Linked DNA regions of Arabidopsis thaliana. The protein of the gene in region 2 interacts with the protein of the main gene of each other region in a pairwise test. Each region holds a gene or a part of one and is shown on either strand. Other genes may lie near its edges.

Region 1 (4,560 bases), on a different chromosome or scaffold from region 2:
TTAAAGAAGAAAACATGCACAAAATTGTTATTCTTCTTAAAGACCCAAACTTTATGAACAAAACTCTGACTTTTACAGAAATGAGCAGAAGCGATCACGAATCAGGCAAGTTTTTCAATACCCATCTTAGAGCTAATCGCGAATTACATAACTAAAGATGACACCACACGCATATGCACGAGAATCACAATTAACCAAAAAAAAAAGGAGAAAGAATCTGAAACCGTACCTCACAAATCAATGTTGAAATTGGATGAATCGCAAATTCTGAAGGTCTTTGTTCGGTTTTTGGAGTAGTTAATGTGTAAGAAACGGAGGGAAAGAGAGAAGCAATGAGTCTCGTTCATTCATTTGCTCCGAGAGCTCCGGGACCGACTCCGGAGAGACATTTCTGATATTAACATCGGAAGACCTTTACTTTATAAAATATTACAAAACAGTCCCTAAATTATGTTTTCTTTTCTCTTTTCCCCCACTTCATAAGACTTTTATCACTGCATCAGTTCCTTAGATTGAACACATAAAAAAAGAAAAATTTATTTATATAACGACAATGATGTAAGAGTTTTGATGACTGACTAGAGAATACAACAACAGAGGCATTTCATGAGAAAAAGTCACTTAAAGAAGAAACATTGCTTCTTGTTTCATGGAAGTTAAATTTTCTCAGGAACTTAAACTGTTGCAGAGTAACAGTTTCTCCTTTTCTGCTTCATATATTTACCATTGTAAATGAAAATATTCACAAACCAACAAAGCCAAATTTACAAATTATATTCCTTGCATTGCCTTGTCATCTTCCCCGGTTTCAGTTCAGATACAGGACACGGATCAATGGTCGATGATCACGGTGTTTCGTTGAATTCCATCACCTGCATACATGAACAATGGATCAAAAATGGGAGCTTTTTAAAAATCCGAATGAATCAGAACAACACAACTGTTAGGATTCCAAGAAAAGATTATTTCTTTATCGGGAAACTTGTACGCACATATGCTTTCACTTGTTCTACCATCTGAGTCTCAGGCAGATAAAACCAGAAGAAGCCATGGAAAGAGCATGATGAAATTTGAAAATGGAGCTTTTTAAAAATCAGAATGAATCAGAACAACAATATTGTTATGAATTCCAGGAAAATATTAGAGCTTTTCATCATCTAGACCGTGCAATTTCGAAAAGCATATGGCCTTTTGCTTTGACGGGAGTTTTATACGCACTTCGTTCTAAGAATGCAGAAAAAAAAAGTGGTTACCTTTCCGCAGACTGGACAGTTTTCACTTCTCTCCATCCACTCATAAATGCAACTAAGGTGGAAATGGTGTGAACATTTTGTCACAATCTTTGGGTTCTCTGATGTATATTCTGCAAAAAACCAACAAGATATGAATACTGAAGGAACAAAAAGGAGACTGTTGAATGGGATTATTATTACCTTCAAGACAAGTTGGGCAGACATCTTCGTCTTCAGACAATATATACATGTTTTCAGAGTCGGCCATTATTGACTTGGACCTTGATCTCAAAATCCTGAGACTGGATTTACTAGAGTACTCTTCTTTGGAATCTTTATCAGAGAGGGTGGACTTATTATTAGCCCATTTGCACCCTCCTACCCCGAAAGATTCAGAATCTGCATCGCTATCGCTTCTTAAAGGTTCAACTTCCTCATGAGAATGACTTGAACCCTTCTCCCGTCTTGAGACGAGTGAGCGGAAGTATCTAGGATCAGCATCATAAGGCAGAGGTCTTGGAGTAGAACGGAATGCTTCAGACAAAAAGTTATCGTGTGAAGAAGAGGAAGTTATCGATGCAGTAGCTTGAACCGAAGATGGGAGAGAGCGAGTTTCCCCTCTTCTGAAGACCGAAATATACTGCAACGATTAATATGGGCTCAAAAAATCAGATTACAGATCAAAGTAAATAACTGTGACAAGAACTAGAAATTGTAACTATAGAAACATGAAAACTTTCGAGATATCTAACCATAAGAAGCATAAACTGAAATAGCAATGTGAAGCAAGCAGTTACCAGGTTAAGGAAATTATGAGCAAGGCATCTTATGCAGGGACAGTTCCTATAGACAGAGCTGTTTGGATTCATGTACTCATCAATGTCCTCGACCCGGAAGCAAGAAGAAACACATCCCATCTTCTCCTCCTATATTCGTCTCAAAAACCTTTCAACGTCGCGTGAAGGTTTCTATTTACAGAACTCTGGTTCCCCAAAACATCTGCTTCATATATCCACGTCACCTGCAATGATAAAATGGGTTTGATTCCTTGATAAGTCTAAAGATGCAGAGAAGAGAATGTTATTTTACACTAGTGGAACAAAGCAACTTCAAACAATACATCTCAACAAACCAAAAGTCCAATTTCTGTTGAGTAGCAACTGAGAGTTTCAATCGATCTGAACTCTGAACACTCACAACTCTAACTTGAGGTTTTGTTAAAGTGAAATGCAAGCACTTACACAGGAAAAAACCCTAAATTAGGTAAATTTCCGACAACCACATATATAACCACACAAAAAGAAGAAAAAGATAAAAACTTTGCTTCAACAGAGAAACAGACAAACTCAATTGAGATAAGAGACACCGAAAAGTGAAAAACCCCATTTGCATTAATCCAAAGAACTGAGAAAAACAGAGTGTATCAACCGACAAACAAAAAAACAGTAAAATTTGATCAGAAAACAAACTTGTGAGATCAAATAACGATCAGGATCGTTATTGATGAAAACATATTTCTAGTAATTTTTCAAATAATCGAAAAATTAAAAAGAAAGAGTAAACCTTTGATCGAGAATTGAGCTGGCCGGAGAGAGGAGGCAAAGACCTAAACTGATTCCTTTTCGATCAGATGAAACAAATTAACCGACGAAAGAGAGACAAGGCTTTAAATTTTCAACTTTTAATATAAATATAGAAACTCATTAATTGTGCAATTTCCCAGGAAAGTGAAAAACTTCAAAAGGATTACTATTTGTTTTCTCGTCGGTGATAAAAAGAAAGATTGCGGAAAAAGTGAGGAACACTGAAGAAGATGAAGATGAATGATGATTGTTGTTGTTATGAAAGTGGGTGAGAGAGACAGAGGAGAGCTTCGTTGTGGATGCCAATGGAGCTTCAAACAGAAAATAAGTTGACCTTTAAAAATAACAAAATTCTATATAATAATGATAATCAAAGAACATAATATAATTACGCTTAGATTATTATATAGATGACTTTGTATTTTGAACTTTTTGAATTTTAGACGTATAAGAAATGTTTTTCTGTAAGTTTGAAAACTCCTTTTTCTGTTTCCAAATCACATTTTTTTTTATCGAAATCTCACTGCTTTTATGGGGTTAATGGAGGACGAATAATTATTTTGTTACTCACGCATGCCCGATTATTCTGTGCTTCTGCAATTATTTTTTCGTTTAATACTGAAATTAATCTCTTTTTTTTTCGTGTCAGTGTCATCTACTTTCCATACAAAAAGTAAAAGCAAACTACTTTCTTCAGAAATTTAGACTAGTTGAGGTTTTGCATTGATTATAAAATCTGATTTTAAAAAAATCCTAAATGAACAGTTTTACTCTTTAATTAGAATCACATGACACATGTTACTTAATTGGTGATATTTAAATTTAAACAGAAATTAATATCTAGTGTTATCCAATTAACGATTTTGAAAAACAAACAAACCAACAAAAAAATATGTATTTCAAAACTAAATCTATATCAACCTTAACCTTCGACACATCATCTTCACTTTTAATTAATTTGTATGAATTATCAAAATAAAAATAAAAATTAATGTGCCAGCAATAAAATAATCAGAGAACATATATGTAATAAGATTACATATGAAGGAAGTTAGAGAGTTAAGACCAAGCTTCAACATTGTACCTCCCTGTCTTCTCCAAAGCCTTAAGCCACCGTGAAGCTACCTCCTTTGATCCTCCTCCTGTCTCCTCCGACACAATATCTTCGAAAGCCGACATCACATCACAAGGCATTTTCGTCGACGAGCCCGCCACGTAAACAGCGGCTCCATCACAGAGTAAATCCCAAACTCTCTTGCTCATTTCGCGGATCTTATGTTGCACGTAAACCTTCTTTGGTTGGTCTCTAGAGAACGCTGTGTAAAAGCCACCGCCTTTTCCTTCAGAGAGCATGCCTCCTTCTCTTGCGTGAGACTCCCAGAAATCGCGGTATAGAAAGTCTGTGTCTTTGTTTCTGCAACCAAAGAAGAACATGACGGGGGCAACCGGGCTAGACTGAGCTTGTACGGCTCTCTCAGCTATGAATCCACGGAATGGCGCACATCCGGTTCCGGGTCCCACTAAGATGAGCGGAAGCGACTGAGATGGAGCAGGAAGGGAGCCTTTGTGAAACCAAACCGGTATGTTTACCTCTAACCACAACCGAAGACAAAGAAAACATATCAGAAATAGAGAACTGAGCCATTCACAGTTATGGTAAAGAAGAAACAAACTTCTAACCTTGTTCAGGTGCGAGGCTTGCAAGCCAAGAGGAGCACAGACCTTTCCGAGTTCTCTTATAAGGC
Region 2 (5,496 bases):
GACTGTGCGGTGGTGGTGCTTTACCTAAACCACCGGCCTTACCCAAGAGAAGGAAACGTGAGCCGAGCAATATCAACTATTTCCTGGAGATCAAATAAGAGCAATAACGAGTGTTATGGAGCCGCACCATTGTCACCATTGGGTCTATCCCAAAGGGTTTCATAGTAGGATAATTGTTACTGTTGTTGTTTCTAACTGTTTAGTAAAATTTGAACCTGTTGAGGTGTCGATATTACTCAACATCAACTTTATTTGTGTGTGAAATAATTTTGTGTTCTGTTTGTTTTTTGAAGCTATTAAAAAGTAAAAAGAGTAGACAAACTAATGGACTTGGTCTTCTTTTCCGCAAATCCAAATTTCAACCTCACAGTTGTTCAAGATTCATAAGTTCTTTTTGTGCAGCAAATGCATTAACCTGAACAGCTACAAAAAAAAAAGTAAAGATGGTAAGTACTTAACTAAACCAAATGATTGAACAATCTGTTAATCTCTGTTGAAATTTCATTGGTGATCACATGCTCTGGAATGATTTGAAAGATATAAGTAAACAAGATATCTTCTTGAATGGTAGAACTTTTTTAGAAAAAAATTTGTATTCAATATTCTACAAAAGGCTGTACAAATCCATAAACTCGGGGAACGAAAACGAGATAAACGGTCACCAATCTCATTGCTGTACGGCGAGAACCGAAACAGAGAGCTCGAGATCTTTGGAGATCAACACATCTCCAACCTCTCCTAACTCCTTCATATCGCTCCATTCTGACAATCCTTCCAACATCAAAAGATTTTCTTCGTGTCTTATCCCGACCATCATCAGATCGAAGTCGTCCCCTTCCTTCCTTAGTAGATCCAGTAGATTCACTGCTTCCTCTATTCTTACCTTTAAGAATGTTAGAAACAGGGGAACACATTATGATAGGTTAGATAAAGAAAAACCTCTGTTTCGTCTACACAAGAAACTTTCTAAACCGAATAGAAACCTCTGTTGCATAGAGAAGGTTTCGTCTAAGGGGAAATAAGATAGCTTCCAAGCCAAGGCAAAATAGTTCTCATTACCTCTCTGAAGATGATGTTTTTCTCGGAATTTTCTTTGCGGAAGACGTTGATGACTCTCATGTCGTGATTCCTCTCGACCATGTCTCTGAGCGGAGAGACGCCGTTCTGGTCCACGAGCCGGAAGACTTGGAGCTCGACGCTTGGATGGCTGGCTAAGCGTGTTGCATACGCAAGCATTTCACGGTCATCTGGTCCTCCTAAGAAGATAGCACCAATATTGATGGTAAGCTTTTTCAGTGGAACGAACCTGAAATCTGGGAGCCTTCCTCTGTCTATGAAAAGCGCAACAGAGCAGGGACAGTTGTGCAGGAGATTACGACACAGGAGCCTCTCCCATAACTCGATCCCGGCATCAAGAGTTAGGATCACAATATCTGTTTCCTGGTCAAAGGCAATCGCACACACGTCCTCGTGCATCGTCTTTCGCGGTGCCACTGCCGTGAAGCACTCTATCAACACGGTCTCCTGATTAGTCTTCTCGAAGTTGTGGAAGGCCTTAACGATCTGGTCCCTTCGGCTAGGCACGAGGAAGGGACTAATCTCTTGCGTGTGATGGATAAGGAGGGGAAGACTATGGTTATTAAGCTCTTCTAGATTCACCGCGAAGACTGAGAGAGGAGACCCGATGGCTGGACGAGAGAGTTCGACGAGGTCAAGCACCGGGCGGACCGCCTCACGGTTCCGGAAACAAGTGAGGATCCTTAGGGGAGCCTCCACTCGGCAGTGTTGCACCGTACGTCTCTTGTAAGGGTTGCGTTTGCTCATGGTTTGGTACAGTTTCTTCACTATCACTATGAAAATTGTCGAGTTTACCGTTGCTGACATCACCATTGCTCCAAAAGATTTGCTTGATATTTTCTGCACCCATTGACCATTATTGATTGTTATTGACCTAAAATTATATATGTTCCAAAGTATATCCTAAATGAATTATTGTTACCGTGTAATTGAAATTCTGTTTGTATATTTGAACGTCGTAAAGTCCTTGTATATTGACGATAAACCCGACAAGAATGGCGTGCCAAAGAGGCACTTTATAGTAAAGGGAAGGCAAGGCAATGGCTATCATTTTGGCAAACCTGACCACCCCAAAAAGTAGCTCAAACCGGATAACATCTCTCCAGGAAAACAGTGAGAGATCGATATTGAGGCCAATCCCAATGACGTAGCAAGGCATCAGGACAGACCAAACAAAACAACCGATTTTGTCTGACAGTCCCGTGCCTAGAGGCGGACGTTTTGGGGTGGCTAGACCTAAGACGACCGCACCAAAGAAGTAAGGTAAACCCACAAATTCTGCCCAGAGGCAGGAGATGAAGAGCAAGACGCATATAACAGAGAGATAGGAGGCCTTGAGAGAGTGTCCTTCTGGTGTTCGATTCTTCATCCACAGCATTAGTGGTCGGAACACATATGCTATCACCAATATCATTATCATCTGCATTCATTTCCGTCTTTATATCATTAATAAAAAAGCGTATATATAGATCAAAGCAAGTTTATACTATACGTAAATATTATTGGATTCATGCATTTTATTAGGATCTTAGTTAGTTTGTCTATTTTTGTAGGAATTTACACAGTCAATTATGTTTTTATAGTAAGAAAATTGGAAGATGTTCCAAAGCAAAATTTGTAGATTAATTAAGAAATTATTTATCAACTTGGGTACCTGTAAGACGGACAAGAAAGCAGCGCGATTTTTATTGGGTAAGTCAACATTAAGTTTAATGGCGATGTTAAGCATGAAAAAACACCAAGAGAGGCAGTCATGCACCATCATGGATGCAAGTGCTAACCTCCCTGGCTCAGTGTTCAACATCTTTAGGCTCGACAAGACTCCGTAAACCACCTGAAAAAACATTGTGGACTGGACGATCGCTACATGGTGGAACTCCACGGGAGGGATCCCCGCAGGCCCGCTTTTGAGCCTCTTGGAGATCAAGATGGCCGCGAATTGGCCCCATACGAAAGGTATGAGGAAAAGTAAGATGCCGTTTATGAATGCTAACTTGCCTACTCTCTTTATCATCCTAGTGTCTACTTGACATGTTGTGATGTAGCAAATGAAGAGAAAACATATGGCCTCGAAGGATTCGATTATGTACACGCTTCTCGCGTAGAAGAATGTAGCCATGTACTGTTTGTTACGTCCTATAACGGACGGTCCTAAGCAGATCCCAGCCTGCAAACAAATTCACTATTAAATATTAAGTCACATTTACACCATTATGGGCATGGCTATACATGTTTTTGAGACGACTAGTCCATATTTTTCCACTAGAAAGCTTCCAATTATAGATGCTTAGATATGGAAACGTATACCAGCATCTGAGTGAGGAATGCAAATTTTCCAAAAGGCCGAAGAAGAAACTGAAAAGATACGGAAAATATGGAAAAGACAGAAATCTGAAGGAGAAGAAGAGGAAGAGCAAACTTGAGCGGATTCTCTCCCCGGCCAATCCCCAAAGAGCCTGCACCTACCCATGGCTCGCAAAGCCAATCAACTCCTCCGTACTGAAAAGTTTTGGTTATATTTTCCATTCCCTCCTGCTAGGTATTTCCCCTAAAGAGTCAAGCCATAGAGGGAAAGAGAGAGATTGTGTTGTGAGTTGAAGAAAAGAAGAAAGTATTAATTATTCTCTTCTTTTTTTTGTTTCTGCTCTCTCTAGCTATATTTAGGGGTTTAATTGTACATGTTGTTTATCCTCTTGTTCTTTATTTCTCTTTAGAGGTCATCCTACTTTTAAGGTTTTCTATATATGTTTTCTGTGTGGTACAAAAATCTTGAGCATGGTCAGATGATCATCATTATAGCCTGAGATTGATTGCACAAACATGTGTGTTTGTAATATATATTTTGCATGTTGATGTTATAATAACCAACCTAGCTACTAAATCCATGAAGTTAGATCCCTAACAAAAAAAGATTAATTAATAATCAACCTAGTAATACTCCTTATAAGTATTAATTTAAAAAAGATCAGGATCAACAAAAAAATAAAACTATAATAAAAAAAAAATGTGTAAAATACCAAAAAATACATCTGCCAAAGTGAGATATGACATATATAATTTCCTATTTTTCTCTGACGGTTATAATAAAGTCAACACAAAATCCTTGAAAAAACAACAAAAACTGTTTAATATCTTAAAAAAGATACATGTATCTTCTTCCCCAGCTCAACAAGCTTGATCTGTTTGCTCAATTAGTTAGCGTTATGCTGAATTCAAAAACACAAACAAAAATGGTTATAAAGAAGAACGTGAATACTAGTTTTAAGAAGAAAAAATATTCCCAAAGAGAAACAAGATGAACAATAGTGTTACAAGTAATGGCACACATGAATTTGTATGCGAGGCATGGTTGGGATCAAGCTCTGGCGGATTACTTAGAGGAGATGATCCATTGAAATATTCAACTCCTCTTCTTCTTCTTCTCATTTCTCTCGTCTCTTCTCTCTCTTCCGTCTTCCAAGCTCTTCTCCGCCCTCTCGCAAATGTCGACTTCGTCACTCAAATTCTGGTATGTAATCACTTTATCATACCATTTTCTACGTTTTTTTTAATAAATTTTGGATCTCTCTATATTTCCCGCAAAGAAAAAAAGGTTTAAACTATAGAAGTGTGATATTTTGTTGGTATATATGAAACAGGCTGGGATATTCTTAGGACCCTCGGCTTTGGGACAAAACATTGATTTAGTAAAAAAATTATTCAACACAAGAAGCTATTTCATAATAGAATCATTTGAGGCAATATCCTTCATGTTCATCTCATACATAAGCACGGCTCAAGTGGACATGGGAGTTATAAAGCGAGGAGGCAAGCTAGCAATCATCAATGGATTATCTCTTTTTCTGTTTCCTTACGTGGTGGGCGCCATAGCATGTACAGTAATCACGAGCAACATCCGTGGAACCGTGGCGAAAAATAATCCCGAGCAGCTCCACAATTTACTAACAAACCAATCCGTAGTGTATTTTCAAGTGGCGTATTCGGTTTTGTCGAATCTCAAGATGCTGAACTCGGAGCCCGGAAGGTTAGCCCTCTCCTCCATAATGGTGGCTAACTGCTTCGGCTGGGGTTTTTTCCTCCTTTTGATTACCTTTGACAGTTTCTTGCATCAAAATTACTCCAAGACCACTTATCTGCCTACCTTCACAAAGGTACTACTGCTGGTTGGTATAGTAGTTGTGTGCCGACCAATATTCAACTGGATAGTGAAGAGAACCCCTGAAGGAAAGAAACTCAAGGCTTCCCATCTATGCACCATTTGCGTCATGTTGTGCACCGCCACTTTCCTGTCTGAAACTGTAGGGTTTCCTTACGTAGTCGGATCCGTGGCTCTCGGTCTTGTCACTCCTAAGACGCCTCCTTTCGGTACTGGTCTCACTGACAAGATCGGTAGCTTCTGTTATGCGGTTCTTATGCCGT

The links. Proteins that work in one complex are often made in the same cells at the same time.
Region 1: the proteins of CHX27 (region 2) and AT3G02290 interact in a protein complementation assay, tested with the Arabidopsis thaliana proteins (one large-scale study listed by BioGRID).

What each region holds. Positions count from the first base shown.
Region 1 is NC_003074.8:456,974-461,533, reverse strand, and holds AT3G02290 (RING/U-box superfamily protein), read right to left. Parts: upstream 2,794-4,560; 5' UTR 2,150-2,793; coding exon 2,030-2,149; intron 1,873-2,029; coding exon 1,434-1,872; intron 1,364-1,433; coding exon 1,209-1,363; 3' UTR 993-1,208; intron 873-992; coding exon of another isoform or gene 846-872; 3' UTR 538-845; downstream 1-537. Other genes in the region: AT3G02300 (Regulator of chromosome condensation (RCC1) family protein), read right to left, coding at 1-16; AT3G02280 (Flavodoxin family protein), read right to left, coding at 3,875-4,407, 4,496-4,560. UniProt on the Arabidopsis thaliana protein: Mediates E2-dependent protein ubiquitination.
Region 2 is NC_003076.8:255,517-261,012, reverse strand, and holds CHX27 (cation/H+ exchanger 27), read right to left. Parts: upstream 3,708-5,496; 5' UTR 3,604-3,707; coding exon 3,385-3,603; intron 3,245-3,384; coding exon 2,732-3,244; intron 2,498-2,731; coding exon 2,000-2,497; intron 1,918-1,999; coding exon 1,060-1,917; intron 884-1,059; coding exon 668-883; 3' UTR 523-667; downstream 1-522. Other genes in the region: AT5G01700 (Protein phosphatase 2C family protein), read left to right, coding at 1-165; CHX26 (cation/H+ exchanger 26), read left to right, coding at 4,373-4,585, 4,716-5,496. UniProt on the Arabidopsis thaliana protein: May operate as a cation/H(+) antiporter.